Xenopus tropicalis: one gene and its partner. The protein of the gene in region 1 interacts with the protein of each later gene in a pairwise test. Links are inferred from orthologs where the notes say so. Each region holds a gene or a part of one and is shown in the gene's direction. Other genes may lie near its edges.

Evidence for each region.
Region 2: the proteins of uncharacterized protein LOC100170420 (region 1) and fst interact in binary tests that used the Homo sapiens proteins (3 or more experiments, as listed by UniProt). The link is inferred for Xenopus tropicalis from reciprocal best matches to the Homo sapiens genes TXN and FST.

What each region holds. Positions count from the first base shown.
Region 1 is NC_030677.2:116,006,409-116,022,272, forward strand, and holds the start of uncharacterized protein LOC100170420, read left to right. Parts: upstream 1-6,347; 5' UTR 6,348-6,385; coding exon 6,386-6,409; intron 6,410-14,352; coding exon 14,353-14,457; intron 14,458-15,142; coding exon 15,143-15,202; intron 15,203-15,864. UniProt on the Homo sapiens protein: Participates in various redox reactions through the reversible oxidation of its active center dithiol to a disulfide and catalyzes dithiol-disulfide exchange reactions.
Region 2 is NC_030677.2:192,421,920-192,437,804, reverse strand, and holds fst (follistatin), read left to right. Parts: upstream 1-6,885; 5' UTR 6,886-6,975; coding exon 6,976-7,060; intron 7,061-8,058; coding exon 8,059-8,250; intron 8,251-9,045; coding exon 9,046-9,264; intron 9,265-9,614; coding exon 9,615-9,839; intron 9,840-11,340; coding exon 11,341-11,582; 3' UTR 11,583-11,982; coding exon of another isoform or gene 11,983-11,984; 3' UTR 11,985-12,210; coding exon of another isoform or gene 12,211-12,307; 3' UTR 12,308-13,321; downstream 13,322-15,885. UniProt on the Homo sapiens protein: Multifunctional regulatory protein whose primary function is to antagonize members of the transforming growth factor beta (TGF-beta) superfamily including activin, myostatin, GDF11 or bone morphogenetic proteins (BMPs).

The sequences.
Region 1 (15,864 bases):
CCCATACATATGGGGTATCGTTTTATTCAGGGGAACTTGCAGATTGAGGTTTAGTAAGTTTTTGGTAGTTGCCATGGAGATTTTGGGGAGAAATCCTAGGTTTTTATCTGGTTTTTCCTTGATTTCTGACCAAAATCTAGGGTTGTATCTGGTTTTTCCTTGATTTCTGACCAAAGCGCTGACTTCTGCAAGGGACTGCGGCCACAATTTTCCATGTAGAAAGAGAAGAATAGTGTCTCTGAATAGCTGAAGGTGTGCACTTTTCGTAAATATATAGATTGTGGGGGTTATCTCACAGGTAGGGGGGGTTATCACTGAAAAACTGCAGGTAGTGCACCTAGAGCGCAGCCTCCAAAATTTCAACTGAAATTGCCCTTATGCATTGCCCCTGTTTTGGGGCATTTGGTGGCCACGTCTTTATGTGCACCCATACATATGGGGTATCGTTTTATTCAGGGGAACTTGCAGATTGATGGTTAGTAAGTTTTTGGTAGTTGCCATGGAGATTTTGGGGAGAAATCTAGGTTTGTATCTAGTTTTTCCTTGATTTCTGACCAAAGCGCTAACTTCTGCAAGGGACTGCGGCCACAATTTTCCATGTAGAAAGAGAAGAGTGGTGTCTCTGAATAGCTGAAGGTGTGCACTTTTCGGAAATATATAGATTGTGGGGGTTATCTCACAGGTAGGGGGGGTTATCAATGAAAAACTGCAGGTAGTGCACATAGAGCGCAGCCCCCAAAATTTCAACAGAAATTGCCCTTATGCATTGCCCCTGTTTTGGGGCATTTGGTGGCCACGTCTTTATGTGCACCCATACATATGGGGTATCGTTTTATTCAGGGGAACTTGCAGATCGATGTTTAGTAAGTTTTTGGTAGTTGCCATGGAGATTTTGGGGAGAAATCTAGGTTTTTTATCTGGTTTTTCCTTGATTTCTGACAAAAGCGCTTACTTCTGCAAGGGACTGCGGCCACAATTTTCCATGTAGAAAGAGAAGAGTGGTGTCTCTGAATAGCTGAAGGTGTGCACTTTTCATAAATATATAGTTTGTGGGGGTTATTTCACAGGTAGTGGGGGTTAACACTGAAAAACTGCAGGAAGTGCACATAGAGCGCAGCCCCCACATTTTTAGCTGTAATTGCCCTTGTGCATTGCCCCTGCTTTGGAGTGTTTGGTGCCCATGTCTTTATGTGCACCCATACATATGGGGCATCATTTTATTCAGGAGAAGTTTGTCTTTCAAATATGCCTTTGTTAGAAAATTTTTATGAGATTTTTTTTTGTCAAATCCACATTTGATCATGCGTCCAAGTTTACGTTTTAGAAAAAAAAAAAAAAGTCATAAAAAGTTCCAAATTTCACAATGCACTGACAAAAGGTATTTGGCTTTTGAGTGAAAACTACATTGCACCTAGAAACCTGAAGGTCTGTAGTTTCTAAAGATACCAAACATGAGGGGATATTTTAGATTTACATATAAGTTATGCTGCATTAACTGTTACAAGCGCTTTTCTGCTTTGTTCTGGTGTGATATTGTACTAAGTATTGCTTTAGTTTGGGGGTTACTTCTGGACAGGAACTGTGGGGTACCACCACATATTTGGTATCGTTGGAATTGGGAGTATCAGGGCTTTTACAAACAATAAAAAAAAGTGAGTAAAATTAACTTTTCTATGGAAAAAAACCTCAAAATATACAGAAATTTTTCATAATTTTATTTTTTTTTTACATATTTCACCCAAAATACACATCATATCTCCAGAAAAGTTATAAAATTTGGTATGTATGTCGAAGCCCAATTAGTGACGAAAAAAACGATATATAATTTCCCTAGTTTCGTGGAGGTTTTCCTACCAAAAAACATTGTTAAAGTGAATGAGTACAAAATGCTTAAAAAACGTCTGGCACTGGGGGGAACCGAAATGACGAATTCGGCTGGCACTTAAAGGGTTAAAGGGCATGTCAACACCAAAAATAATGTTTTGCATAATGAAAGAAAACATAATTCTAAGAAACTTTCCAATATGAAATAATTAAAAATTTATAGTGCTTTAAACGTTATTTGTAAATGTAATTGCTATTGAAAGCAGCATTTGCTGAACTCCTGGTTGTTACATTTTAAACAATGTTGCAAAGGTCTTGCTTCTCCACCAATACAGGTCTGTCAGTCTGCTGCCTTGTGTTACAATGTTTCAACAGTCTGAACCACCAGGGCAGAGAATAGAAAAGGACAGGCAAGCACTGCTTCTAATAGCAATTATAAATACAAATAATTCAAAAACCATTAGAAACTTGTAATAAATGTATTTTGCAAAGCTGCTTAAAATTTTGGTTTCTTTTATTAGGCAAAAAATTATATTTTGAGTTGCCTTGTCCTTTAAGAGGGGCTTGGATGAGTTCTTGAACAAGCATAATATCCAAGGCTATTGCGATACTAAAATCTACAGTTAGTATTGATATTGGTAAATATGGTTTGTGTATGTGAGTGTATATATAGATCAGTATATATCTGTGTGTGTGCTGGGTTCACTTGGAAGGGTTGAACTTGATGGGAACTCTGGTCTTTTTTCAAACCTATGTAACCATGTAACATGTCTAGAGGGGCTTGGCTGCCATGGAGATGACTAGACACATCCTTAGCCAAGTTAATGAGGAGTCATCCTAATTCTAAATATTATTACACAATACCAGTTCAGCAAAGTACAATGATTTATTACCATTTGGGGTGACATTGTGAGGCTTCCAAATGTTAAGAGGCCTGTCTAGATTTTCCACCAAGCAGGCCAAAATGTAAGCAATTACTTTACAATATTATTACAACACAGAATTCACATAAACAAGATCCTCCCTGGCCTCCGAACTATTACTTTGTAGAAGACCTTCAGAACCATAAAGCTGTCCATACATGTGTCAATATTGTACAAAACAAAGCTTTATAATGTTATTTGTACATGTATGTTGTCTGCCACCTTACCAGACCAATATTCATAGTACATAATGCCTGATTCAGACATTCAACAGCTAATGCACTATGTTGGCCAGTTCATAGCCTATGAGTATGTGTCTACTGAGGAACTTACTCAGAGGCTATGAGTACGCGCTCCAATAGGCATGAAACAGGATAGGCCATTTTCTGATGTCCCACATAAACAAATTTCTATTTTTAATTCGTTTTTTTTTGGGGGGGGGGGGAATCCCACATTAAATTTATTTTTACAGCATAGAGGCTAATCGCATACCATACATATAGGACTTTCCTTTTTCTCTAACACACACACTACAGAAACTGCTCACCTGTGCAGTGTAAATTTGTGTGTTCGTCTGCAAAGGAACAATATGAGTTAAATGACCCAAGTCTCCTCTATGGGGATTGTTTCCATGGAAACACACATTAATGATGAACACAGATAAAAACACCTGTGTTCCCATGTGGTGTATTGCACAAAATAACTGCCCCATAGAAGCTCAGCTTAAAACACTGGTAGGAACCTTAAAAAAAAAAAAAAAAGAGAGGCAATACAAATTGCATGGCTACTTAAAAGATATAAGGATGAAAACAAAAGTGGGTTACAGCATAAGTTTAAAGCTGGCCATACACGTGGCGATCTCACGATGTTTCGTACGACCGTCGGTCGCACGAAACATCGTCAGATCCGCCACACACCATTCAGGGCTGAATCGGCAGGTAAGGAGGTAGAAACAATAGGATTTCTACCTCCTTCTGCCGATTCAGCTCTGAAGGGAGAATTTTGGTCAGGCGCCTTCTATGGCGCCCGATCAAAATTTTCTAACCTGGCCGATCGGCGAGTCGACCGATATCAGCAGCTTCCTGCGATATCGGTCGGCTCGCTGACATGCCATACACGCACCGATTATCGTACGAAACGAGGTTTCGTACGATAATATCGGTGCGTGTATGGCCACCTTAAGACTACACAAATCAAACATTGCTTAGTTCAAAACTAAATTCAATACCTTACTAAAAATAATGAAAGAAATTGCTGAGGGATCTGTAGAATTCTATCAGTAACTGTATAACTTAGATCAAAGCCCAAGAACAAAAACCAATGAAAAGAAAAACTGCAATTAAGTCAGCAAACAAAAACGATATGCTAACAACTGCTGAATAACTAGATAGGAAATACATCACATTAAAATTATATCTTATGTCCAGATGTATAACCTGACAGTTATTATAAAACACAATAGTCTCTCCACATGTATTAGAAATATATTATACTATAGTTTATATAATATTTCAACCCAAATTCAAGTGGATCATAGAAAACAGTAGTGTCACAAGATTGTGTTAGTAAGCTAGCTCCCAAATTCATTGGCTATATATTTAAACCATTATCCAAGCTAATGCGCACTAACCAGGTTAGCTTTTTACCTAGACAAAACAACATAAATATGAAAGGGGAGGTCTACCACAAAACTGCGCTTATTTGCATTCAATAGAAAAATCTAGTTTACCATAAACTGTTTGCAGATCATAAAAAAAAAAAAAAAAATTTTTTTTTTTTGCACAATAGCAATCTTTTATCTATCTAACGCAATGATCTCCAATCAAAGACTCACCGACTCATTGGATGTTCTACAAATGACCTAAAAGCAGATACTTTTAGGCCACTGGGCTTATTATACTGTATATTCCTGGCTTGCAAAAACAAACAAAATAAAAGTGTAGTGCCAAATACAGCCTCCAATAGGCTGCCAGTATACAGAGGGACTACCAATAACCAATCAAAGACGTTATTTTGCAACCCCAAAACTTTTTGCATGCTTGTGCTGCTCTACTATGATTTTGACATTTGAATGTGTCTTGCAACCTATCTGCTGTAGCAGCGACCTTTATTTGGGTTTATTTACCAGTGCTAGGCGACTTTGCCCCCAAGGCAAACAGTCAAATTCTTATTTTCACAGCTCTTCCTTCATTTGGTATAACAAACGTAATCAACAGCTTGTTGCTATTGGTCACTGCCTCGGTGTGAATTTGCCCAATGCAGGTAAACATGTTTGTTTGATACTGCATCTTCTGTGTCATGCGTTGCTGTAAGGTAGCAACCTTTTCACATGAACAGGTATAGGATCCCTTATCTGGAAATCTGTTCTCTGAATTACATTAAGCCTGTCCCCCATAGATTCCATTTTAATCAAATAATTCAGAATTGTGAAACTCATTTCCTTTTTCTCTGTAGTAATAAAACAGTATCTTGTGCTTGATCCCTACTAAGATATAAATAATCCTTACTGGATGCAAAACAACCCTATTGGGTTTAATTAATATTTTATTGATTTTTTAGACTTAAGGTATGGAGATCCAAGTTAAGGAAAGACCCCTTATCCGGAATACCCTGGGCCCTGAGCATTCTGGATAAGGGTTCCTATACCATTACTTGCTTGCTTTTATGTTTCTTGGCTATTAATAACATCAGCAAATATAAAAAATGCAACCCTATAACCTTTTATCTGCTCCTTTTAAACAGGGACAGTTATAAAAAGAAAGTGTATAGATACCCCCTATAAATATAGATACAGCTAATTTCTATTTAGGTTCCCAAGAAAATAAAAATATATGTACCCAAAAATTAGCCACTGGCAACAACATTTATACTACCGACATGAATGGACCCACACTGAACTCTGACTCTCCACATGACATTTTCTAGGAATAAATAACTCCTGTATTTCATTTTAACTCACGTTGCTATTACTTTTGACCTCAGTTAGTTAACTTCATACCATAGCTAAACCCGAATAATCTTATAGTACCAATTCATTTATTGCTTATAAAACACCGAGGCGAGCAGCAGCAGCCACGTTCTAAATCCGCCAACAAAAGCGGGCACTAAGCTACACAAGGCGCCTTGGGAACCAAGTCACGAGTAATTTTCTGCTATTAACCTCGCCCCTTCGCTAGGAACCGTTATACGCGCCTCCTCCCACTTGTCCCAGTTCACACGAGGCTGTTCTAGCCTTACTGAACTTGGCGCATTTCCTACAGTCCACTCCCTCTTCTCGGAATATCCTACCGCCATCTTCCCCTGACGCCATAATGCGGCCAGTGGTCCCTAGCCGCACCCATTGCCCAGACTCCCTTGTTGTGCGTAGTCCTCACGTGAAGGCGCTGATTTTGACCACGCCTTTACAACGCTGGCCTCTCTTTATTGGCTCGGATAGCTTAGTGACCCGCCCATTGCGCTCTAGACCGCGCCTTTTTTTACTTTGCTAGAATAGAAAGATATTGTTGTATACGCTATACACTAGCCCCGCCCATTCGCGGGCCCCTCCCCTCCCGGTAATTGCTAGACTTATCTCCTGAGGTTAGTGCTTTGCTGTGTCACGCTGAGTTTGAAGAAGTCGGCCGTCGCCACTGTCCAAAATGGTTCGACACGTTGAAAGTTTGGTAAGCAATTAATTGTATCATGAACGTTGTAAGTTGCTTGACTGAGAAAGATGCTTGGAAAGTACAGGCTTCTTATTTTCCTTTAGCATGAGGGGAAACGGGGACAGAGGAGCTAGTGCATCCTTATTCAGCATGGCTGGCAAATGCAAACAGCATGAGCAACACATTCCGTTTGAATTCTACTAACCCAAAAATAACATTCATTCAGATGTTCCTATTCGTTTATATTCGGATTATTAAAGTTGTGGTAGGTAGGGGAAGAGTGGCTGCTACAGCACTTAAAGGAACCCTCATCCTAAATTAATTACTGACCCAATGTAAAATAGCTAGGTAACTAGTAGTCTACGTATATTACCCATTTCAAAATGGTTTTTTTTGCACTTTGGGTGGCTAAATACAAAGAACATACTAACCAAAGCAAAAGTAGGTTCAAAGTTTGCTTTAGGGCTTCTGACCCTCCCCAAGCTATTAAATGTTTCCTTTCATTATTCAAACTGCAGTAGACCTATGCATGCTATCTGCTGACTGGTTGCTATGGGTATTCTACCTGGGGCAAACTTTGCACTATTGCAGCATTTTCTGTTAACTAGTTAAGGCTTTCCGACACACATTAATTTGACTTCTTTCTAAAAGACTAATATTAACACTGCTCCAGATCAGGGTCCTCAGAACAAGTGTTTTGAATGAGTACACCAGCGCTGACCTTCCTAACAAGAAATACAGCTTGGGTGATAATGCCAGTCAGTATGTAAGAGGTTAATCAGCTGACCCAGGACAGGATGAGATTGCATTTTGATGTTGATTCAAGCAGAATCAACATCAACACTGTTAGGCCAGTTTGTAATCCAATATCTAAATCTTCAAGGGTTCACTTTTAACCTGCATTTGGTTTAATTGCTACCGAGTAGCACACTATCTAGAAGAAGACTTAAAAATTGCATACTCCCATGCATTCTCAACATACCCTACTAAAAGAAATAAAAGAAAATGTTGTATAATTGAAACTGAGTAGGTTATGTTGCTCAAAATTCATCCTGTTTAATATTTTCTGGTTTAGGCCTCATGGAGATAAAAAGGGTACTTTCAGATGTGACTGGCTCAGGTTGGGTGAACTAGTTGGATTAGAATTTCACCTCTATTAAGATAAGAATGGATGCAAGAAAGAATGATTTTAAGAACACACTTCAGTTTTTCCATAGAATTTTCATAGATGTTAATTTGTTGGGATCATTTTCCACAGTTAAGTTGAACTGCTTGACAGATTTGCTTCTCAAATAATGCTAACATTCCTGAGCCTCATTCATGGTTATTGGAAACCAGAAGACTCGCTTAAAGCGCTTGTTCACCTTTGGGTTAACTTTTAGTATGATATAGAGAGTAATATTCTGAAACAATTTACGATTGGTCTTCTTCTATTTTTTTTTTGTAGTTTTTTTTAGATATTTCAGTTCAGGAGCTTTCCAGTTTGAATTTTCAGCAGTTATTTGGTTGCTAGGGTCCAAGTTACCTTAGCAACCAGGGAGTGGTGTGGATAAGTGACTGAAGTATGAATAGGAGAGGGCCTGAATAGAAAAGAAAGTTACAAAGAGTAACGATAAAACTGTCACCTCACAGAGCAATCGGGGTTTTTTTGGCTGCTGGGGTCAGTGACCCCCATTTGAAAACTGCAAAGAGCTGGAAGAAGGTTGCAAATAATAATAATAAAAAAAAAAAAAACTATAACAAATAAATAATGAAGACGATTGAAAATTTGCTTAGAATAGGTAATTCTATAACATACTAAAATTTAGCTTTAATGGGCAACTGTCTATTAAAGATGACATATAGTGAAAAAGTAATAAGTATTTGCCGTGGTATTATACACCAAAAATAGAAGAAAAACTCATTTAAAACTTTTGTGCACTGTTTTAATAAAAACTGATTTAAGAATTGTTTATGCTGCCAAGCCTTTCAGCATCTCTTGGGCACTTTCCCAGGCTGTTGAGCAATGGCAGCCCTTTGCCTTAAAGGATGCCAGCCAGCCTTTATCTTGCGCACCGCCACTGCAGTTTGATGTAGTTGTCAGAGAGCTGCCATGAAAGGGTGTGGTTTGCTAATAAATGGGAGGGGATTGGGTATCTAGTGGATATATTGGCATGGGCAGTTTTGACTTACTGGGCAGCTGTACAGTCATCGCTGATTTGTAACTGGGGAAGATTTATGGGAAGCTCCAGTAAAGGTACAAGTTTGATTGTAATTATTACACTACATAGGCTTCATATATTTATCATGGGTTTTGTGATGAGGGTGCTTTTGCCAGATGAGATAGCTATATATATATATATATATATATATATATAGCTATTTATTTTAAATAAATATTTGTGTAATTGTTTATTTCTCCCTAGCTTTCTCTTTGGGTACTGAGTGCTTTTGTACTTTTAGGGCACTCGTACAGGGTGATTCTCCATTAGAGAAACACTCCAAATTGGCATTTAAGCAAATCCATTTAAGTGAATTGCACTCTGTTCTTTTAAATGGATAATCACTCAGAAATACAGCAGTGAATATTTCTGAATGATCATCATCTGGTCCATGAGAGCACTGTGCAGAACCAGATGATTTCCATTCGGGTTACCAGAGGGGCAATTGGTAGCCCCTGCTTTGTGTCGGGTTTCCTGGACACATCCATTCATAAATTTACTAACATTGTTTGCATGTTTATTAAACAGTCAAAGTAATAATCACTTTCATTTATTTTCCCTCATGGGTATTTTCTTACAAGGTGTTTGTCAAGCACCAAGGGCGTTGTCTCTGTTAGCATCACTAGATCCCAGATGCAGAAGCTTCATCTGATGGCAGCAGTGTGTAAGATATTGTGTGAGGAATGCCTCCTTCAGATACATTTGACTAATAAGACCACTTTATATTTTCTCAGTCATACTTACTTGTTCCTAGCACAGATCATAGTCTTATTCTAAAAATTTAGCAGCAGTCTTTAAATACTCAGGTGCTTTGTTTAGCTTATTATACAGCAGTACTTCTTATAAAGCACCTGTTTTTTTGCACTTTTTTGACCAGTTGTGGTTCTCGTTCCAAGCTGTTTTTTTTCTCCATCAGAAACATATTAAAGAGGACATATTGTGCGAAAACAATATTTATGCCAATGAATTGTGCTCATCTAAATTATAGAAGGAGTGTGCTTTTAAAAGTAATGTTATGGCTCATTTTTTCCCCACCACTGGTCCTTCCCACCTGGTCCACTTTCTTCTGTTTTCTTTTCCCAAACACTGAGGGGGGAGTGGCACTGAGCCAGTCGCCCGGTAATCTGACCTTATCCATTACTGATGCCTGTCTCTGCTTGTGTGACAGCGGGGCTGTGAAGAATGGCTATCCCCTTCCTATTGTGCTTAGGACACGCCCACCCCTCATTTGAAACATGGACAGGTACCTGAGAGGATCTATAGGGAGCTCCTGTAAAGGGGCCATTTTTACAGATAGTATTCATTTTTAGATCAAAGTGAAACCAGCACCATATATTATTTATAATTGCCTACAAAATTAAAGTTTTTTTTTTTATCCTAAATATGCAAGACATGTGAAAAAAGCTGAAAATATCAGTTTGATTGTAAGAGTAAACAAAACAAAAAAACCTTTCCATTTGATTCCATTAGTGGATTATCCAAGTAAAATTCAGACCAATAAAATAAATTGCTAGCAGCACAGCTAGTTTATTCAATATACTGCCGCATGTAGTAGGCAGTGTCAATTGTAGGTGCCTTCTTGGGTTTCCTCTGGGTACTCCAGTTTCCTCCCACACTCCAAATACATACAGTCAGGTTAATTAGCATCTAATGAAATTAACCCGAGTGTGTGTAAATACGATAGGCACCTTAGACTGTGAGCTCCCCTGTGATGAACAGCTAGATCAGCAAGCTTGCCCATTCATGTGTGTGGTCATATTGCAAAACCTCATTCAGAATGAGCGGCTGGTGCATCCACCATTTATTTTTGGAAATTCATACACACCTGTTATCCAGAAAGCTTTATATTAATGAAAGTGCATTTTGCAGATAATTCTAATTTTTCAAACAATTTATTTTTTTCTCTGTAATAATAACAGTATCTTGTACTTGATCGTGACAAAGCTACAGGAATCCATATTGGTAGAAGAAGAAAAAAAATCCTATTGGGTTGGCTTTATCCAGGGCTGTGGAGTCGGTAGATAAATTCTCCGACTCCTCAGTTTCTGATACTTCCGACTCCTCTGTTTTTAATATGCTAATGTATTTTATACATTCATTGAAGGAAAGGAAGGAGACATACATGTCATTTAACCACAGAACCTACTGGCTAGGATGCCAACACTCGACTGTATTGCCCAATTAAAGCACGTATACAAGTATTTCTAGTCCTGCAAATTTTCTTTACTTAATTAGTTATCAGTGAGAGTTAGGCTAGGTTCACAGTGGGCATTTTGTTCCCTGTAACAGAGGAACACGACGCAGTGGAGCTGCTGCACCTTAACTGTGCGTTACGTCCCATTTAGTGAAGCAAACAGTCAATGAAAAGCATGCTTCATGGTCACTCAACGGGTTCGTTTATGCACGGCGTGCATTGGGCTTTATTCTTATAGCAGAGAAGTAATTTATTATGACTGTTTGTGAATTCGGACATTTAAACTTGCTTTGTTAATTTTTTTATTCCCATTTAAATTTAGTCGGAGTCGGTTCATTTTTTTCCGACTCCAGGTACCCAAAATTGCCTCCGACTCCCTGGGTTTATCTACTGTTTAAATGATTTTTAGACTTATTGGGGAATGTAATATAGGTTGCTAATGGCATAAATGTTCACAAACAAATATTCCTATTACAAACAATTTTGCCTTTGCACAAATACAATATTTCTTTTGATTACCCTTTGCCGCACATGCAACAGAGGATAGAGATTGTGAATTGTTTTAGCTTACGCCAGTGTGCAGTATATGTAATATAATGTGTTATGTCTTAGTTACGCCATCTTAAACATTTGCAATTTTGCAATTAAAATTCACAATGCAATCAAAAATGAAATATATAACATCGCAAAATGCAAATTATTTTTATTTATGAGCAGTTTTTTTCCGTTTGCGACTTTTATTTTATTCCTCCCCTTAAAGTATAGTGATCCAAATTAAGGATAAAGTTCTGATCCGGAAATCCAAACGTTCTGGATAATAGATTCTATACATGTACTAAAAGATTTAGTAGCATAAAAAGATACTTTACAAAATTCAGTCCTATTTTTAGATATACAATGGCAAAAACTTGTTCTTGTCATAACATATTTTCTGAGTTGCCTGAGTGCAAAGAACAGTTCTGTCATTCGTAGTTCTGCGCAGTAATACTAAGCAATTCCTGAACAGAACTGCACCAACAGTGAAATGCTGGTTGTGTTTTTTTACCTGTCTGGAGGGGAGGATTCTATCCACACAGGACAGCAAGGTACACTGGCTGGGGGTGAATTAAATTTGCATGGAACTGCTGAACATGAAAGCATGTAATGAATCGATACAGTTGGGCAAGTGTCTGGATTAATTATTACAGATCTTTTAGGTCTTCCATGTTTGTTGCCTGCTTTATTAAATATTAAACACAGCCTTGTGCTCTCTGCCAGTGTAATTTGAGATTTTTTCTAGTCATAGTTTTTTTTAGTATGAAACCTGATATTGATTTCCTGTATACTGCCATTTAGATCCTTGCCTTGGTGTACTTACTGGATGGTGGCATAGCGATCTCTTCTTGTTACCTTTCACCTGCATTCCAAGGGCTGGGAACTTAGAAGAATGTATAGCATTCTATATAAAGGCCATAAAGTTTCTTACAGTTCTGTACCTTCTGACTGATTTTTTGCTGCAACAAATGTAGGAGCTGCGGCAGCACTTTACCTCCTAATTTACTGATGTACTGTGCACCTGCTGACATGGTGAAGATGATACTTTCAAAAATGTTCAGTCATCTATCTATTGAAACGTCCTCCTGCCAGCGAACTTGTGTCCAGATGGTCAGGTAGTATAGTACAGGTATGGGATCCCTTATCCGGAAACCAGTTATCCAGAAAGTTCTGAATTACAGAAAGACCATCTCCCATAGACTTCATTATAAGCAAATAATTTTAATTTTTAAAAATTATTTCCTTTTTCTCTGTAATAATAAAACTGTACCTTGTACTTGATCCCAACTAAGATATAATTAATCCTTATTGGAGGCAAAACAATCCTATTGGGTTTATTCAATATTTGAATGATATTTAGCAGGCTTGTGTTATGGAGGTCCAAATTATGGAAAGACCCTTAAATGGGAAAACCCCAGGTCCCGAACATTCTGGATAACCGGTCCCATACCTGTACAGCATTGGCTAAACTGACTGTCAAAATGTCTGCATTGTATGGCCAGCTGGCTTTACCTTGTAAGTACCATTAAGCCTGCAAGTGGGTATCAGGTCAGCCTAGCTGCTGGTTCCTATCCTTCAGTGCAATGTGCAGAGTTCTGCCTACACCCCATCTGCTACTAGGAAAAGGAGGTAGCAGGGAGTGGAACAGATGGACGGGACGGGGAGAATTATTTTTTTTTATAAATCAACCTGAAATACTACTATTTTTTAGTAAAGCCCTATATTTAGAGGAGTAAAATGCACTGGCACTTTTTTTTTTTCACTCTGTATGTCTCATTTTATTATCTTTATATTCAGGCCCTTTCCTATTCATTTTCTAGTCTCTTATTCAATTCACTGCCTGTTTGCAAGGTTAATATGAACCCTAGCAACCAGATAACTGAACAAAAAAAGACTTTAATTGTAAATTCTCAGAATATCACAGTCTACATCATATTAAAAGTTCATTTAGGGCTCTGGCACACGGGGAGATTAGTCGCCCGCGACAAATCTCCCTGTTCGCGGGCGACTAATCCCCCCGAATTGCCGGTGGGATGGCACACGCTGCGCAGGTGATTTCGGCAAATCGCCGAAGTTGCCTCGCGGGGCACTTTCGGCAATTTGCCGAAATCGCACCGCCGCGTGTGCCATCCCACCGGCGACTTACATTTTCGCCGGTGGGATGGTAGTTCGGGGAGATTAGTCGCCCAGCGAACAGGGAGATTTGTTGCGGGCGACTAATCTCCCTGTGTGCCAGAGCCCTTAAAGGTTAACACCTCCTTTAGCCAAGTAAGTCAGATGCTAATATTATTGGAAGGGATGCCATCGCTTCCGCGGAATGTGTGTTGCAATTTGTGCACAGTTTATCATAATGGACATATATTTGTATTCCTATTTTGAACCGTAAAGGAACACACTATATATATATATATATATATATATATATATATATATAATTTTTTTGTTTTTGTTTTTTTCTTTGTACATTGGACTGCGTTTGTAAATGTGCTCTATAAACTTTGTTAAATATTTACACACAGATACCCCATTACTTATTGACATTTAAAAAAATATATGTATTACACATATCCCATATTTAAAGGAGACCTTTTAAAATCACCCTTATCATTAGGGCAGTGATTTAAAAGAAATATTTAAAACTAAAAACTAAAACATATAAACTAAAAACGTTTGCCTCTCCACTGCTCTGGCATTCCACCTGCATTCAGCGCTTATATACTCTTATATGTGGCTTTATCAGTTTTGGGATGAGTGCAGGTCTGAGTGGGGATGTTTACTCCATTAAAGTTTCTGTCTTGTAACCAGTGGTGTGCACAAAAATAGCGTTCGGAGTGGGAAGACAAGACAATTGGTTGGGCATGGGTCCTACAAATTAAGGGGATGCATTTGAGTGTTGAAACAATTGAATGGTTTTGTATGTTGTTGGGGGTGAGATATTTTATAGTAACTTTTTGTCCTTGCAGGGGAAGCATATTTCCTGGCAGAATCAACTTTAAAATCATTGTAGTCATAATTTACTTTTTCATTTTTAGGATGAGTTCCAAAATATACTTAAAGAAGCTGGGGATAAACTTGTAGTCGTTGATTTCACAGCAACATGGTGTGGTCCCTGCAAAATGATTTCCCCTGTCTTTGAGGTAGGTTATGAAAGCTTCTGCATAGCCATTGCATTTATCCAGTATTGTGTGCTTGGAGTTTGCACACACGTTATCCTGTGGGAAAGTTTAGACTTAAGTGAACTTCTTTAAGTAATGGAAAATTATCTTTTTTTTGTTTTGTACATTGAGTTTACATGTAATAAAATATTAATTTTGGTCGTATGGTGTTGTAGATTGTGCCTCAATGCACTGAATAACCGACAGCCCATTTTTTAAAAAAATTCTACCATAATGGTAACACACCTGTAAGTTTTCACTTAGACTCTTGGTTTGTGTTCATGCCCAAGCCAAGAAAGCCTTGGAAAATGCTGAAAAAATGGCAGCATTAGATAAAAGATTCTAGGACTGGTGCAATTTTTTCCAAACCGAAGCTCTGGTTTGGAGTAAAGTTTTATAATTCAATACGCCAGGGAATGCTTAACATATTGGCACCCCCTTGCTTATTACCCTACCCTTTAAATTGTAATTTAGATCTATGTGCCTAGTTTTGTTGGGCAAGATTTCATATTGACAGTTTAATTTATAGTCTGCATATTTATTTGATTTCAACTTTCAACTAAATGAATTTTTCAGGTATTTGTAATTTTATCTAGATAAGGAAGCAGTAGTGTTTGTTAAATAGTGTTTAAATGTCCAAAATACTTATTCTGTTCTCTTTTCCCAGAAACTAAGTGTAGAAAATCCGGATGTTGTTTTCATAAAAGTGGATGTTGATGACGCACAGGTGTGTTATGTTTTGTTTTTATGTTATTCTGATTTAATAAAACATATTAAATTGCCTATAATTCTTGTGCAAGTATGCTGAACTCATACAATTTACTTTTCGGTATTTTTTAGCCATTTAAGCTTCTTCTGAGTTACACAGGAAGTTGCATTACAGAATTCAGACAAAAGCAAATTCTAGAAATGGAAAGTTTCTCTTAGTATAATTCTGGGACAGTTTGCTTTTGTTGGTGTTTGCCTATCGGTTCTGCTTCATTCTAGCTAGAAATGTAAACACTATAGGGTCTTGGGCAGGCATACAAACCCATATTTGTTGTAAAACTAGATTTCTTTCTCAATTATATTTCTTTCTTGTGCAGTGTTTTTCATATTCTTATTGTCTGTCCTTCAGACTTATGCTTGGTTGCTAGGGAAGCGGGGCCCTAGCCACCAGGTAAGTTTAAATTTCAAATTGGAGAGGTAAAGAAAAAAGTAAAATACCCAGACAAAGTCTCCTAACATGCCATTGTCTTTATGGCAATTAAAATCTAATTACAAATGGACCCCTTTAATGGTAATCTCATGCCAAAATCTGTGATGTCTACTCTTTTAAGAGTATATATGCACAAGATTTGGCAAAGCAGCAAACTACCGGTACAAAAACTCTTGAAACCACCTGTTGTG
Region 2 (15,885 bases), about 76 Mb from region 1:
ATATATATATATATAATATATATTCATTTTTGGGTTGTGGTAACTAGATTATGGGAAAGTAAAAATTTAATTAATTACCAGATCAATAACAAATTCAGGGGCACCTCTAATAAATATATTCCATTTAAATTAAATTGCAATTGGTGCAGCCCATAGGCTGCCCAAACCTGGCAATCCCACATGGCCACTATTATTCTGGAAGTCTGGGTAAAAATGCTGCACTGCGGGTAAGAAAAAAACATGGTGATTTGCATCGGAAAATTGGACTTTGCCTACTGTACCTGGGAAAGTAAATGCCTCTTAATGTGTCACATTTCTAATGGATTGCAATGTCCGCTTTAATAAAAGGGGCCAAACACGGGCCAATAAAAGCTGGGATGTACTGAGTCGGCATCTTATCGGCCTGTGTATGGGGCCCAGTGACAGATGAGTCTGTCAGACTGATATCTGACCAAAAATCATCCAGATGTCGAGCATCTGGGTCTGACTGGGGGTTGCAGGGACAACCATCGCAGTGGCCCCACACCCCCCCCAAGGGGCTACCGCCTTGGCCCCCACACAAGTCATGCACTGAATCCAGGATTTGGTTTGGTATTCGCCCACGATTCGGCTTTCTTCAGCTGGATTCGGATTCGGCCAAATCCATAGTCCTGGCCAAACCAAATCCAAAAACTCACATGACTTTTTGTCATGTTAACACAGAAGTGGAAATTTTCATCCCTTCAGATTCGGTTTGGTATTCAGCCAAATCCCTGACAGTGGATTCGGGGGTTCGGCCGAACCCGAAAACCTGGATTCGGTGCATCCCTACCCCAAACCCCCCCCCCTAAGGGGCCCTGTCATCTGGCCCCCACGCCCCCTAAGGGGCCTGCGCTGCCACCCAACTCCCTCTCCCGAGCGCAACTGCTTTAGTCTTATCTTAAGCATGATGGGGGAGGCAGATCTTCAGGAGGGGGAGCACCACGGGGATCAGGTCTGGGCCAGCACGGCCCACTAGGGCCCACCGGGTTTTTTCCCAGTGCCTGGCCAACTCAGTCTGACCCTGGTTTGGCCTGAGGGATGAACACTCAAACCAATCTGATATTATTCACTTCAGGGTGGGCATATCGAGAAAATATCAGCCTGAAAATGGCAGCCTGAACAAATAAGAGGATCCTTTAGTGTATGACCATCTTCCTGAACAACACAATTTAAGAAATGACAATTTTTTTTTAAGAAATATTATTTATTTAGAAATGTTTGTAAAAAGCAAAGTAAGAGGGTGCTACACACCCCTGATAATGAATTGGAAACAAAATATTAGGTGCTGCAATCTGTGAGTAGAGCATGATGGGAGTAGAGCATGATGGGAGTAGAGTATGATGGGAGTAGAGCAGGATGGGAGTAGAGCAGGATGGGAGTAGAGCAGGATGGGAGTAGAGCATGATGGGAGTAGAGCAGGATGGGAGTAGAGCATGATGGGAGTAGAGCAGGATGGGAGTAGAGCATGATGGGAGTAGAGCAGCTTCAGTGCAGACAAGGGACAGACTAAGAGGCAGCATTCACTTTACTGTCAGTGAAATGTCATTGATGAATCGTATGTAAATGGAGGCTATATTTAGTTTAGGTGCCTTGGAGTTGCTTGTTATTATCTTTCCACTGTATCTAGGTCAGCCCTTTGGAGGACTTTCAAGGTTAGAGTGTAAGTGTAAAATTAGCTGAAAGTTTTTCTTATATTGGAAGAGGAAACATTATGGCTGTCAGGGCTTGCATTTTAGAAGGTAAACAGGGTGGCGGATGGCTCCTCATCCATATACACAATATTGGTATTTAGTATAATTAATAAATAGCCACATAGATCAGTGGAGGAGCTGAGACAGGGAAATATATTCCCAAAGCACATGGTGGGATATCAACAACTAAATATGATTTCTGTGGTTTCTGCTCAGGCTTCAATACTTAATGCGTAATAATAGAGAAAGTCCTTCTAAACAACTTCCAAATATTCATTCATTAAAAATGTTCAGTGATTTTAAAGCTATGTGTAGTGGCAAATGCCATTGTAAATAGTATCTGTCTGTGCCTAGCTATTCTCAGCACTGGCGGTTCTGACTTGTGAAACAGGGTAACAGAAGGCAGTTGACCAGTCTTGTCTGCACAGAAGCTAAATTATGCAACATTGTTGTAACAGTCGGAACAAGGAGTGCAGACAGGGGCAGATAAACACTGCTTTTAGTTACATTTACAGATAAGGGGTGGTTCACCTTTACATTAACTTTTAGCTATAGAATGTCCTATTACCAGAAACTTTTCATTTAATATTCATTATTTCCTATTGTTTTCGTTTGCCTTTTTCTTCCGTATGAAAAAGCTTTTAAATAGGAGTCACTGCCCCCCCCCCCAGCCAAATTACTATTTCTCTGTGAGGCTTCAGTTTTATTGTTATTCATGTTTATTGCTTATCTTCCTGCTTAATCAGTCTCCTATTCAGATTCCAGTCTTTCACTCAAACCACTGCTTGGTTGCTAGGGTAAATAAGACCCTGGAAACCAGATAACTGCTGAAATGCCAAACTGTAGAACTGCTGAACAAATAACTGAAAAACCACAAGTAATAAAAAGAAGACCAATTGCAAATAGTCTCCTAATATCAGTGTCTACAGTTAGTAATACTTCATTTAAAATGGTTTTTCACCTTTGTATTAACTTTTTGTATGTTATTTGTGGTTTTTGAATGATTTAGCTTTATATTCAGCAACTCTCCAGTCTTGAATTTAGCGGCTATATGGTTTCTAGGTTCCAAATGACCCTAGCAACCAATCAGTGGTTTGAATGAGAAACTGGAAAATGAATAGGAGTGGGTCTGAATAGAAAGATGAGTAATACAAAAAGTAACAATAATGAAAGTGTAGCCTCAAAGAGCAACAGTATTTTGGCTGAGGGGGTCAGTGACCCCTTTTGGAAAGTTGGAAAGAGTCAAAAGAGAGAAGCAAATAATTTAAAAACTATTAAAACAACTGAAACCTGACCATTCTATAAAATACCAAAAGTTAACTTAAAGGTGAACTACCCATTTTAAAATCATTTGATGTCTGGATGTGTATTGGAAAGTTGTTTAGAATTACAAGTTCTTTCATTAGGCTGAATGTTCTGTTTGGGTTTACATCCCCTTTAGGTTTGGCTCCCTTAGCCAATAGAATTCAGATGGCTGTACCTGGATCAGACAAACCATTGTAGCCACACGGGAGCAGCGCTTTTGGAACAGGCAAACAGCGATTGTGTCAATGATGGGAAGCAAATAAAGGTGTCTGCCCTGTGTTCCTTTGCTCTGTACACACATTCCGGGGTGGAGGAGGAGGAGGAGGCAGGATCCCCTGATAGTGAATGAGAAGAGATGAATGAAGTCACGTTGCTTTGCGATGACAAGCCAGGTTTAGCCTTGCGACTGATGTGACTAATCGCTGCAGATGAACACATTTGCTTTGCGATGTTACAGAGCAGGTGCGGCGGGGCCAGACACCCGTGTTATTGCACTGACCTTGCGGCGGCGGCTGGAATGTTAGTGGCACTAGTGCTGTTAGCAACATGTTACTAGTACTCTGGCCCCTAGCAACCTGCCCACACATAGGGAACCTCTCAGCAGCACCAAGGCGCATTCCCCCCTTACAAACCCCACACAGGCACCTAGGCTTTTATAGGGAGAGAGGTCCCAGGATAAGCAGCTAGCCAGCCCGCAGTTAGTTAGCCAGCCCGCAGTTAGTTAGCCAGCCCGCAGTTAGTTAGCCAGCCCGCAGTTAGTTAGCCAGCCCGCAGTTAGTTAGCCAGCCCGCATTTAGTTAGCCAGTCCGCATTTAGCCAGCCCGCAGTTAGTTAGCCAGCCCGCAGTTAGTTAGCCAGCCCGCAGTTAGTTAGCCAGCCCCCATTTAGTTAGCCTGCCCACAGTTAGTTAGCCAGCCCGCAGTTAGTTAGCCTGCCCACAGTTAGTTAGCCCGCCCACAGTTAGTTAGCCAGCCCGCAGTTAGTTAGCCAGCCCGCAGTTAGTTAGCCCACCCACAGTTAGTTAGCCAGCCCGCAGTTAGTTAGCCTGCCCACAGTTAGTTAGCCTGCCCACAGTTAGTTAGCCCACCCACAGTTAGTTAGCCAGCCCGCAATTAGTTAGCCAGTCTGGAGTTAGTTAGCCAGCCCACAGTTAGTTAGCCAGCCCACAGTTAGTTAGCCAGCCCGCAGTTAGTTAGCCCGCAGTTCACAGTTAGTTAGCCAGCCCACAGTTAGTTAGCCAGTCCGGAGTTAGTTAGCTAGCCCACAGTTAGTCAGCCCGCAGTTAGTTAGCCTGCCCGCAGTTAGTTAGCCAGCCTACAGTTAGTTAGCCAGCCCACCGTTAGCTAGCCAGCCCGCAGGTAGTTAGCTAGCCCACAGTTAGTTAGCCAGCCCGCAGTAAGTTAGCAGCCCGCAGATAGCCAGCAGTTAGTTAGCTAGCCCACAGTTAGTTAGCCAGCCCGCAGTAAGTTAGCCAGCCCGCAGTTAGCCAGCCGGCAGTTAGTTAGCCAGCCCGCAGTTGTTAGTTAGCCAGCCCGCAGTTAGCCAGCCCTAGCAGGATTTATACCAAAGGGATAGTGATAAGAAGCCATTCCTCTCCCCGCACTGCCCTGCCAATGACCTCAACCCTGACCCGCAGAGGCCCCTCTCCCATGGGCTGAGAGGCAATGCCGTCTGCCGACCCCTTAATGATGTGTGTGTGCGAGTTTTATGATGTGCCACCGGGCTACTGTCCGCTGGGGCCGAGCACACGCCACAAATTCTCATTTCATAGGAGACAGATTTGAGGAACATGGGTGAAAGGGCAGCGCTTTTTGGCCATAAGTCAGCACAGGCTTAGCCCGTTACTTGTGAATGGAAGGAGAACAGGAAGGCAGTGTGTGAAACGTTCCAGAGCTGTGACCCCTGTTCCTTCCTAACCGCAAATGGGCGATAAAGCCCCAGCCGCCCAGCTCCCTAGCCCTGATCATTGCCCAACGCACTGACTCACCGGCTCTTCTCTCTCACTGTTTGGATTCTCCAGCCCCGGATTAATGGAGATTACACAAACCAGAAACAAACAGAATGATTTTGAAATGAGGACGTAGGAGCAAAAGGAACTATGAATTAAGTTAGGAATTGCCTCATTTGGCTCTCACCATAAGGATGCTGTGCTATTAATTAAAGATGTCGTCTGCCATTAGAGGGCACTAAACAACCTTGTATTTATCCTGGAAATAGTAGGGGTGGAGAAAGTTAAAGGGAAGGGGGAAAAAGGCTTTGTGAAGTGAGCAAAATGCCCCAGATGTAGAAAGGGCGACAATAGGGGGATGTTGCAGGGTCAATCATTTACCAGTGCGCTTTAATGTGTGCCTGCAGGTGGTGCCCCAGCCCCTTTGTACTCGCCCCACAGAGCAGCCTAATGAGCAGCCTGGGCCGGCCTGAGGGGCCCAAACAACTGTCTGCTAATATTAGCACGCCTGTATTTCTGGATCTATTATAGTCCTCCCAGACAGATCCCATTGTAATGGGATCTTTTATTAAAAGATTAGTACTATCTCCTGCAGTTGCTGGAAAAAAATCTGTTATCGCCGAGTTATTTGCAGTCAAAGTCTGTGGCAATACAAATCCAAGCGACCTGCCAGTATCCAGGAATGCAGTCTGCATAGTTCTCTGTCTGTTGTCCTCTGGGCTCTGGAGGCAAAAAGAATAGAAAATGTAGAGGGACAGAGAGAGGGAGAGAGAGAAAAGAGGCAGCTTTTGAATCAACAATACCATTTTCCGTGAAGTAATGGTTCTGTATAAAAGGAAATATCGCCTACTCAGTTTCATTCAGCTGTGCCAAAAATGTTAGAAATGAGTGGCCGCCAACTTGCAGCGGAGGATGCCAGACTGCGCTTAATAAACTGGCCCTATAGAAGTTCATTATCGATGGGGCAATCTCTGGGGCTATGAAAGGAGACCGCCTACGTCGTCCCATTCCTGTCTGATACTCCAGACACTGCCACTTGAAAAGACTGTCACTTGGGGGGGGGCAAATTTAGGTATTAAACTTGTATTTGTCCCTGAAGACTCCCAGAGAGCTGGATGTGGGAGCAGACACTTAACTACTGTTTCAGGTTCTGGGAGTTATATTTTAAAAGGCACTTTAAGAGTTTGAGTGGGAGGTGGGTGGGGGGCAAGTCCTAACCCCCCCTCTTTAGACAGTGCGCCCCGATGTTGCCCGGTCTTTGCTCAGAAGGTGCCCAGGGGGAGCCAGAGTGGGTAGGTCCTGCCCAACAAGGCTGAGTCTGGGAGAGGTCACGTCATTGTCCTGTGCGCACCCAGCAGCACCTATAGCAGCGCTTCCCACTCACATGCCCCACTCCTATAGCAGCGCTTCCCACTCACATGCCCCACTCCTATAGCAGCGCTTCCCACTCACATGCCCCACTCCTATAGCAGCGCTTCCCACTCACATGCCCCACTCCTATAGCAGCGCTTCCCACTCACATGCCCCACTCCTATAGCAGCGCTTCCCACTCACATGCCCCACTCCTATAGCAGCGCTTCCCACTCACATGCCCCACTCCCTGCTGCTGCCTCTGCTGCTGCACAAGTAGCCACACTGCTGCTCCATTTCCCCACCAGCTGCTGGACAAGTTTCACTCTCTCTCTGCTTGGGACTCAGCAAACACTCCTTGCTACATTCTCTCTAGGATCTACCTACCCACTGTTCATTGGAAAAGGTTTCCAGAAGGTGGAAAATGTCACCTGATTCACTCTGAATTTTTCTTTTTACCCCACCCCCAAACACACACACACATTAGGAGACCGCCCACCGCAGACAGCTAAGACCCCCTTATAGATTTAAAGAGAGACTGCATTAGAGGCTGCTGTTCATTCAATAGAGCGATCATAAGCAGAGTCCGGAGTTGTGCCTGGTCCATTATCCCATCTCTCCACTTGAGACTCTGCTGCTTCTCCACTCTCTGCACTGAGGATGTTAAATGAAAGGATCCAGCCGGGCATGATTTTCCTCCTGACTGTCTCTCTGTGCCATTTCATGGAACATCGCGCAGTCCAAGGTAAGAACCTGAAGGACTTGATCACTCTTTTTGGATTTTCTTTCATTTTTTTTGGTATTAGGGCAGACAGTAGGAGAGGCAAGTTAGGCTGGTGACTTAGATCAGACTTCACTTTTACATATCTGCAATATCAAGATGGTAGTTCTGGATTTTAAGGGCTACAGTCAACTTGGCTTCCAGATTTATTAATGTGTATATAAATGTATCGGCAGAGAGTGCTACTTTACTATCAGTGGTTACAGTTATGTAACGAATCTAGTGACTTATTAGGGACTTGCGAGGATGTCGGTATTTGTTTCGTACTACTCTAGTTGTACTCCAGCTGGTGGGACAGAAGTTGTGGTGGCAAGTCATTGGCTGCCAGCCCCCTACTATACGTAGCAGAGGCGCAGTCGGACCCAGCGGTGCGCAGAATTTCTTCCAACTGACGCAATCTGCCTTGTGCTAATTGCTGCCTACTTGCAGTGTTAGTTGGCGCAATTCCAAATGGAACTAGTTGTAGTGAGTTGTTTAGAACTATTGCTGTTCAGCTTATCCTTTCTCTTAACTTTAAAAAAGGGGTAACATAGCGTGGGATTGGGGAGAAAACACGTTTCGAAATGGATTAGTGTTGCATGTAGATGTTCTGAATGTGCCTGGATTGCAACATGAGGTTGGATCGCAGGCTTGACAACTGACGCACTTGATACTGTAATATTTCAATAAAGCAGGGGTTTTATGGGCTCGTTATCTCAACATCTGGATGGGAGGCTGTTCAACAGCGCGGCCAATTAACCCTTTGTGTAGCCTGGGTGGATATCTATAGAGTGGAAGCCCTGAAGGGGTTAACCGTGCAAGTGTGAGCGGTTTGGCTGGGGAGAGACTGCTGTTACTAGTGCAGGTTATGAAAGAGGCCGAATAAAAGTAAACAGTCTAGTGGAAGTGAGCGCAGAGCACACGTGTTGTGTCTGGGTCACTGCTAAGTGACACTGATATGGCTGGGCCGCTGTCTCTTACAGCTGGGAATTGCTGGCTGCAGCAGTCGAAGAACGGCCGATGTCAGGTTCTCTACAGGACTGAGCTGAGCAAGGAGGAATGCTGCAAGACTGGCAGGCTGGGTACCTCATGGACTGAAGAGGATGTACCCAACAGCACCCTCTTCAAATGGATGATATTTCATGGAGGGGCCCCTCACTGCGTCCCCTGCAAAGGTACTTTACTTGACAATTTTTACTACCATCTCCTCGTTTTGAAAATGAAAGGGTTAAATTCCTACATCTCTGTAAGCAAAGAAGTCGAGAGAAGTTTTTTTTTTTTTTAGTACTTTAACATACAGTCTCTACTGACACGTTGTAGGAATACATGATTTAACCATCCCTGTGTATGCTTGATGCGACCTGTGCTTCCATGAAACCATGAAGCTGCCATATGTATTTATATACCCGCATACTTGACATATTTTGAACTGCTTTTGGCATTATTTTTGTATAGGGGGACGCAGCCACACAGTCCATATGTGTGTATGTGTGTATGTGTGTGTGCAAGAATAATCTCACCCAGCTCAGACTTTAGGATACTGTGCTAGCAGATTCTGGCCACCTACACTTGCTTATTATGTGTTATTTTTCACGGAGGGATTTATTAAAGTGAAGGGGACATCTGCACTCAATTTTGAGTTCGCTTTCTGGAGGAACTTTTGTTCTCTCTCCATAGATACTGCATGCTGTTTTAGCTATTAGGCACAGAGGGGAAATACTTTTCTTGTACTAGTAAGTTCCCAGTGTCAGGAGCTTGTATGAATCTGGCATATCTATCTATCATCTATCTATTTATCATCTATATTAGATACCATAACACCCCAGATGATCTTTATGTAATGGCACAGGCACATTAGTCCCTGAAAGTCTAGACATGCTGCTGAGATATGGGGCTATTTATCACATTCCTAGTAATACTATTTCTTGAGTACTTTGCCCACTGGCTAATTAAACCTGTTGCACTTACAGAAACATGTGAGAACGTAGACTGTGGCCCTGGGAAGAAATGTAAAATGAACAAGAAGAACAAGCCGAGGTGTGTCTGCGCTCCGGATTGTTCCAACATTACTTGGAAAGGTTCCGTGTGCGGAATAGATGGCAAAACCTATAAGGATGAGTGCGCTTTGCTCAAAGCCAAATGTAAAGGGGTCCCGGAGCTGGATGTGCAGTACCAAGGAAAATGCAAAAGTAGGTTAAACAAGTGGGGGGAGTTAGGGATCTGTGGGCTGGGAGGGACAGCCACATTAGATTGCTGTGATGTTACCTGAACCTCATGGGTGGGCAGCATGGAAAAGAAAGCTCTCATTGGGTGGCTTTTAGTAGCCTGAGAAGCTTTTTTGGTGCGCATTGGCTTGGGAGTTGCAAAACTTTATGTGATATAATACGGGTCCCATAAAGTACATAGTATATGGAGTAAATAAGAGCAATTTATTATGACCTTACGCTTAGCTGTGCCCCAGTAGTGCTGTAAGTCCATCTGTCATTCATTGCGCCTTTATACTGATCGATGTGCGCCCTTGCGCTTCTTTCTCTTTCAGAAACTTGCAGGGACGTGCTGTGCCCAGGGAGCTCCACTTGTGTGGTGGATCAGACCAATAACGCCTACTGTGTGACATGTAATCGGATTTGCCCGGAGCCTGTCTCCCCTGACCAATATCTGTGTGGGAATGATGGAATAACCTATGCCAGTGCCTGCCACCTGAGGAAGGCTACCTGCCTGCTGGGCAGATCCATTGGATTAGCCTACGAGGGGAAATGCATAAGTAAGTGTGGTGTCTGATTTACCCAGCGACAAATCCATTCTGAGTAGCATTCTTTCCCAAGTGCCTTGAGGAGAAGACACTCAGTATGGGGCAAGAGAAGCAACATGTGATTAGGGTTGGTGCAAGAGGATTTCTGCCAATTTGGAGCCTGGTACATGGCAAGTTTCCCGGAGTGTTCCTGGTGTGTGTGTGCACTTTCACTCCCTCATTGGCCTTACATCCCACACTAGCTAAGGAATGAGAGAGGATCGCAGCGACACCTGCCTTGTGCCTGCAGAGCACGCAGCGACACTGCCTTTGGTCCCAGCAGAACCGTTTTACCTGTTTTACATTCATTTAATTATGGCATTTTTTTTATTTTGCAAGAGGAAATGATTTTGATCCATACCTGGCTGATTTTACTGTGGTCTCTAGATTTCTGTTTTCCTTGCCTGCCACTCCTGCAGTACATTTAAGACGAACAATATAAAATATCCATGTTTCTCTCCTGTCCATTGGAGATGTATAACATTATTGGCATCTGGGTTGTATCTGCTGGAGATAAAAATGCAGATAAATGCAGTATAGTGGCTGTTGGCACCTTTTTATCTGCTCTGTGTTTTATGGAGCCCATTTTCACTCTAGCTGGTGGTCCATGTGTGGGTATGGCAGATACCTGCACCCTGTATATGCTAATGGTAACATTGTCTGTGGTGTATATATTCATATTGTAAATATGTGAGCTGTCAGGTGGTGTTCTGACGCTATATGCGCCCTCCCAGGTGGTGGGTGTCAGTAGAAGGTTATTTGCTCACCTATGGTGCATACTTTGGTACGGCAGATACTGTCAATCATCAGATGTTCCTTCGGATATCTGCGCCATTACTATTTTGCTTTCGTCAGTATGCTAGATATTAGCGCCCTACCAATCTGTTTGAGTAAATCTGATTGCATCCTTAACTATGGTAAATCTGTCATTCTAGTAAGGATTTGCTCCCTGCCATTGGTGTAGGTTATTATTATTATGAAGGCTATTTTACCCTTGCCTATTCTGTATGTAACATGGTCATGGTTTATCTGTTATCATGAAGACTATATATTCTCATCCCTGTTGTATCTGAAAATATGACGGCGACTCACCAATAAACCAGTTGTATATGATCTTTACACACTCATCCCTGGTGTTACTTAAAAGGCTAGTAGATGTGATGTATGCTAGTCATTTCTACATTCACCTGTTCCTAGGGGCTAATTCACTATTACCCATGTATACATTAATCTGCGGTGTGTGTTAGTACAAGAGCTAAATGAAATCTAAGTAATTACAGGGAACAACCAGGGATTGCGAGTTTCCTTTCCAGATATAACTCCCTTGCCAAATGTTATAAGTCTGTGCGTTTTACGATTTTAGTTGCTGTTTTGGCATTTGTATTTCTTGCTTTGTCATGCCCCAGTGAGACTAAAGAGAGATCACTGACTGATAAGTTTATTTGTTAAAAGCCCTGGCTCTTCTCCCTTTCAGAGGCCAAGTCTTGCGAAGATATTCAGTGCAGCGCTGGAAAGAAATGCCTGTGGGACAGTAGAGTGGGTAGAGGTCGCTGTGCGCTGTGCGATGATGTGTGCGGAGCAGAGAGCAAGTCAGACGATACAGTGTGCGCCAGCGATAACACTACCTACCCCAGCGAGTGCGCAATGAAACAGGCAGCCTGCTCCACGGGGGTTCTTTTGGAAGTCAAACACAGTGGATCTTGCAACTGTAAGTGAATCACTGCAACACAGAGTAAGATTTCTAAAGGCAACCCCTCAGTAATGAAGACTCTTTAAAGCAAAATACTTTTTTGTTGTTTCTAAGGGAATGTGAGCATTATTTGGCGGTATATGTACACCCTTCCAGTGACATGACTTAAGCTGCCTGCAAGATTTCGGCACTTTTGCAGGAAAAGCCAAGGCTATTTACAAGGGGGTTGCCTGAGAATATCTTTCCCTCTATTTTTCTAATTTGCTTCTATGTGCTTCGCTGATTGCTTCATTAACGCTTTGAGTGACCTAACTCCATCCAAGTACCAGTAGTAGCTTTGGGTTCTGTCCCCGGACAGAGGCCTCTACTAACTCTGAGGACACAAGCAGTACACCTAGAACACGAGCGCTTTTTGTCTGATTACAGGAATCTGCAATAACAGCCTGATCCATTGGTTCTTCAGAACTTTCCGCTGTTAAGACTTCATAGATTATGTAAAAACAAACAAAAAAAAAAAGTATTATTTATCAGGTGATGCCAAACAGCATCCCCTGCGAGTCACATACAATGCAACGCTGTATTATGGCTGGTCAGAGGGCTTTGAGAAACATGCACTGAGCTTCTGCGCTGTTGTTGTCCTTTTTTAAACAACAGCTCCCCTATATTCCCCCATATAGCCATTGTTGAAGATACAGAGGAGGAAGAGGAGGAAGAGGAACAGGACTACAGTTTTGTCATATCTTCATGGTAACAGCTCCCAAAACTGTTGGAACAGCCTCTGGGCAAGAACACATGTCCATACTGTAAATAGGTGTATGCTTATTTATTTTGGGAAAGAAAAAAACAAAGTATACATATAGTTGAGTCTGGTAGACATTTATTTATACTGTCATGTTTTATAATTTATACATAAAATGTCTGTTTTGACTGTACACCTTGTTTTGAAGAAATATATTCGTCAAAGGAAGAGCAGTGTTATTTATTGTGAAATATCTTCGCTTGTAAAGTCCAGCTTTTCTTGTAAGTCCATTCCTTAGAGGTGATTGACGGTACTGTCCACTCTGCTCAGCGAACCCCTTGAGTAACGGAGGAATGCGCTGTGCCAAGAGCGTCCGTGGCGCATAGCGCATCACGATAGCGCGAATGGGGTTCGGCGCTTTTCTTTCCATGAACCCTGCATGTCAGTTTCTAAATGTTTATTTATTGGATTCTCTCCTTTAGTTCTGTACATACATCCTTCGGGTTTTGTTTACAAGGAATCTTGACTGACCAAAAGAGGCTGCAGCATAACGTGAAAACAAAAAAGATGAAAAAAATACAAATATATATATATATCTATATATATAGAAATATATATATAGATATATATTTAAAAAAAAAAAAAAGGTTGAAGTGGCTGTGTTTCAGGAAATGTCCTAGTTTCCATTATTCTAACATACTGGATGGTTAAATCCCAAAGATTCTTTGGTTCCAAACGTGTTGATCCTTCCCACCTATTAGATACAAATACCAATCATTTCCATCATGCCAATTCAGACTTATTTGTGTATTTCGACGTTTTATCAGTTCAAGTTTCTTGCGTTTTCATAATACATTTTTTTTTTCTGATTTCAATTTTATATTTTCAAACATGGCAAGTTAAATATAAATTCATTTAAATATATAGTTTTGTACTTTTTTACCATGTAAATGTGTAATGTATATAAAAGTTATAATGTGTATTTGTAAATAAATTATGGGTGAACAATAAAATAAATGAAATTTGCTTTATGCCTTTCTCTGATGTGTTTTGTAACGAGGTGCTGCCGAACAAACAGAAGGATGCTTAATGAAGGCACTCATGTTCTACTGATTAATGGCAAATAACACGTTGAGTTCATAGGATGAAAGTACAGTATATGCCCTGGCACTTTATACCGAAACTGCCCAATGTTTGCTTAGTATACAGATCAAGTCCATTTGCTATTTCCTTCCAGCATCTCTCAGGAGACGCGAACCCCCATCCCTCATGCTCCCTGTCTGGCACTCTTCGTTTTTCCCAGCCTTATCTAGTTATCACAACAAGCAGCTCTTCAGAAGTGAGAAACACAAACATCACAACTATATCTAATTACTCTCCAAAAATTAAGAGCGAAACTCAATGAATAAGCATTAAGCAAATCAAAGCTTTAAAGAAATACCATTTCAAAGACGATTTCTTATTGCAAGATATCAGCCTTGTTGCTTGTATCTCCCCAGTGAATTTTAGATATTTAGAATTATAGCTTTTATGCACTGACCCCTTTTTTGTGTGTATGCGTTTTTTTGTGCATTTAAGATGCCCAGTTGTACCCATGGGCAATTTAGATCTGCATTTCAGCAAAGCTGCCCTTCATTGTGCATGTTGAGCATTAAGATTATATTTAAACTGATAAAATGCATTTTACACTGCAAGTGGCAGATTTGGTCTGAAATTAGAGCTTACTACAGAAAAACTCACCCACTTTCTATTCATTCCTATGGGATTTTTAGAAACACATTTGCTAATGGGTGAACGTTAATTTGATAATTGTGCTTCTAAAAATTCCATAGGAATAGATAGAGAGTAGGTAAGTTTTGCTGTAGTGGGTTCTAAATCAAACTTTGATTAATCTGCCCTTTATTTTTAGTTTTTAGTTGAAAGGTCTGTATAGGCATGTGTATATAAGTGCACTGGGGTTGGTTTGAAGAGGTTAAACTACAGATTAACTAGATGTAACACCACAATTTAACTTTTGTTCCAAAGTTGTATCTTTTTTAGGCATTCTAAGGCATAGGAATCCCTTAAAGAGATAATACCAGAAAATAAACCTTTTTTAACATATATCATAATAGGATCTCTTTGGAATTTTTTTCTTAAGGGCTGTGATATATGGGGAGATTAGTCGCGTTAGAATGTAAATAGCTGGTGGGATGGCATACGCGGCAGCGTGATTTGCAGAAGTCGCAGAAGTTTCCTCTCAAGGCAACTTCGGCAAATCGTGCCGCCGTGTATTCCATCCCACCGGCGATTTACATTCTAGCCAGTAGGATGGCATTTCGGGGAGATTAGTCGCCTGCGACAAGGGAGATTTGTTGTGGCGCGACTAATCTCCCTGTGTGTCACAGCCGTTAAAGTATTTGCCTGATGCTTTTACATTTCCTATCTGATCCCCATGTTCCTCTATAAGGGGGCTGCCATATTTGTACAGCAGGAGTCCATTAGCATTAGAAGCTATAACTGAGAGAATGAGAAGGGACAGTCAGGTTGGTAAAACAGTCAGGTTTAGGGACTTCAAATAACAATTACTCACAAAAGCAGTACTATCAGCGAAAAATGATCCACATGACCTATAGGGAACTTTTTATGTACATGAATAGTTTCTTTAGTGTCAGTATCACTTTAAACTGGCCCTGAGTCTGCTCTATGGGGACTGTACCCATAAAAGCATGTATAAACCCCTTACTTAGATAATGGCTTACACCATGCATGGTAATACAGGTGTAAGAAGCCATATACAAGGCAATATCTTTTGATGCCTTCAGCATGCATTTCAGATGCACACTCAAATGTCCATGTAAAAGTACGCTAAAGAAGGGCTGCAGATTTGAAAATGGCAGCAGTTATCTGCTGTGTGGTGTTTTAACTTCTCTTGTTGCACTACAATTTTTATCACTCTACAACAGCCTATGGCCAGGCTACTGAGCGTTGTAGTTTAACTGCAGCTGGCCATGCACCGGTTATAGGCCCACTACTCGACACAGAGATCTTTTATCTTTACAGTAAAGCAGATGATCCCTAAATGTAGAGCCGTTAGCTGATACAGAGATATGGTATTGTTACAGAAAATCAGTTGATCCCTCAGTGGGGTTCTTGCCAAAGAAAAATCCTGCTGGAAAGAGCTTTTTAGACAACCTCTGCATTCCTGTAGTGATGGGAGGAGTACAGACTGAAACATACAACCCCCCCAGGAAAGTTGTAAGCATCACCAGATATGGAGTTTCCACACAGTGCCTGATGTGTAACTACAGAGGGAGGCCAACCATCAGGGGATAACAGGATAATGTTTAGAGAGTTACAAAGTTTCACCTACCCCCAGAGGATTAGAGCTTTCCCTTCCAGGAACTGCTGTGTGTTTGCAGAGATCCCACTAAAGCCAATGCAAGAGAGATATGAAATAGTCCAATCGATACCATTTCACACCAAGTAATGTTCTTTAGAGAGTTACAAAGTTTCACCTTCCCCCAGAGGATTAGAGCTTTCCCTTCCAGGAACTGCTGTGCATTTGTAGAGATCCCTCTAAACCCAATGCAAGAGAGTCATGAAATTGG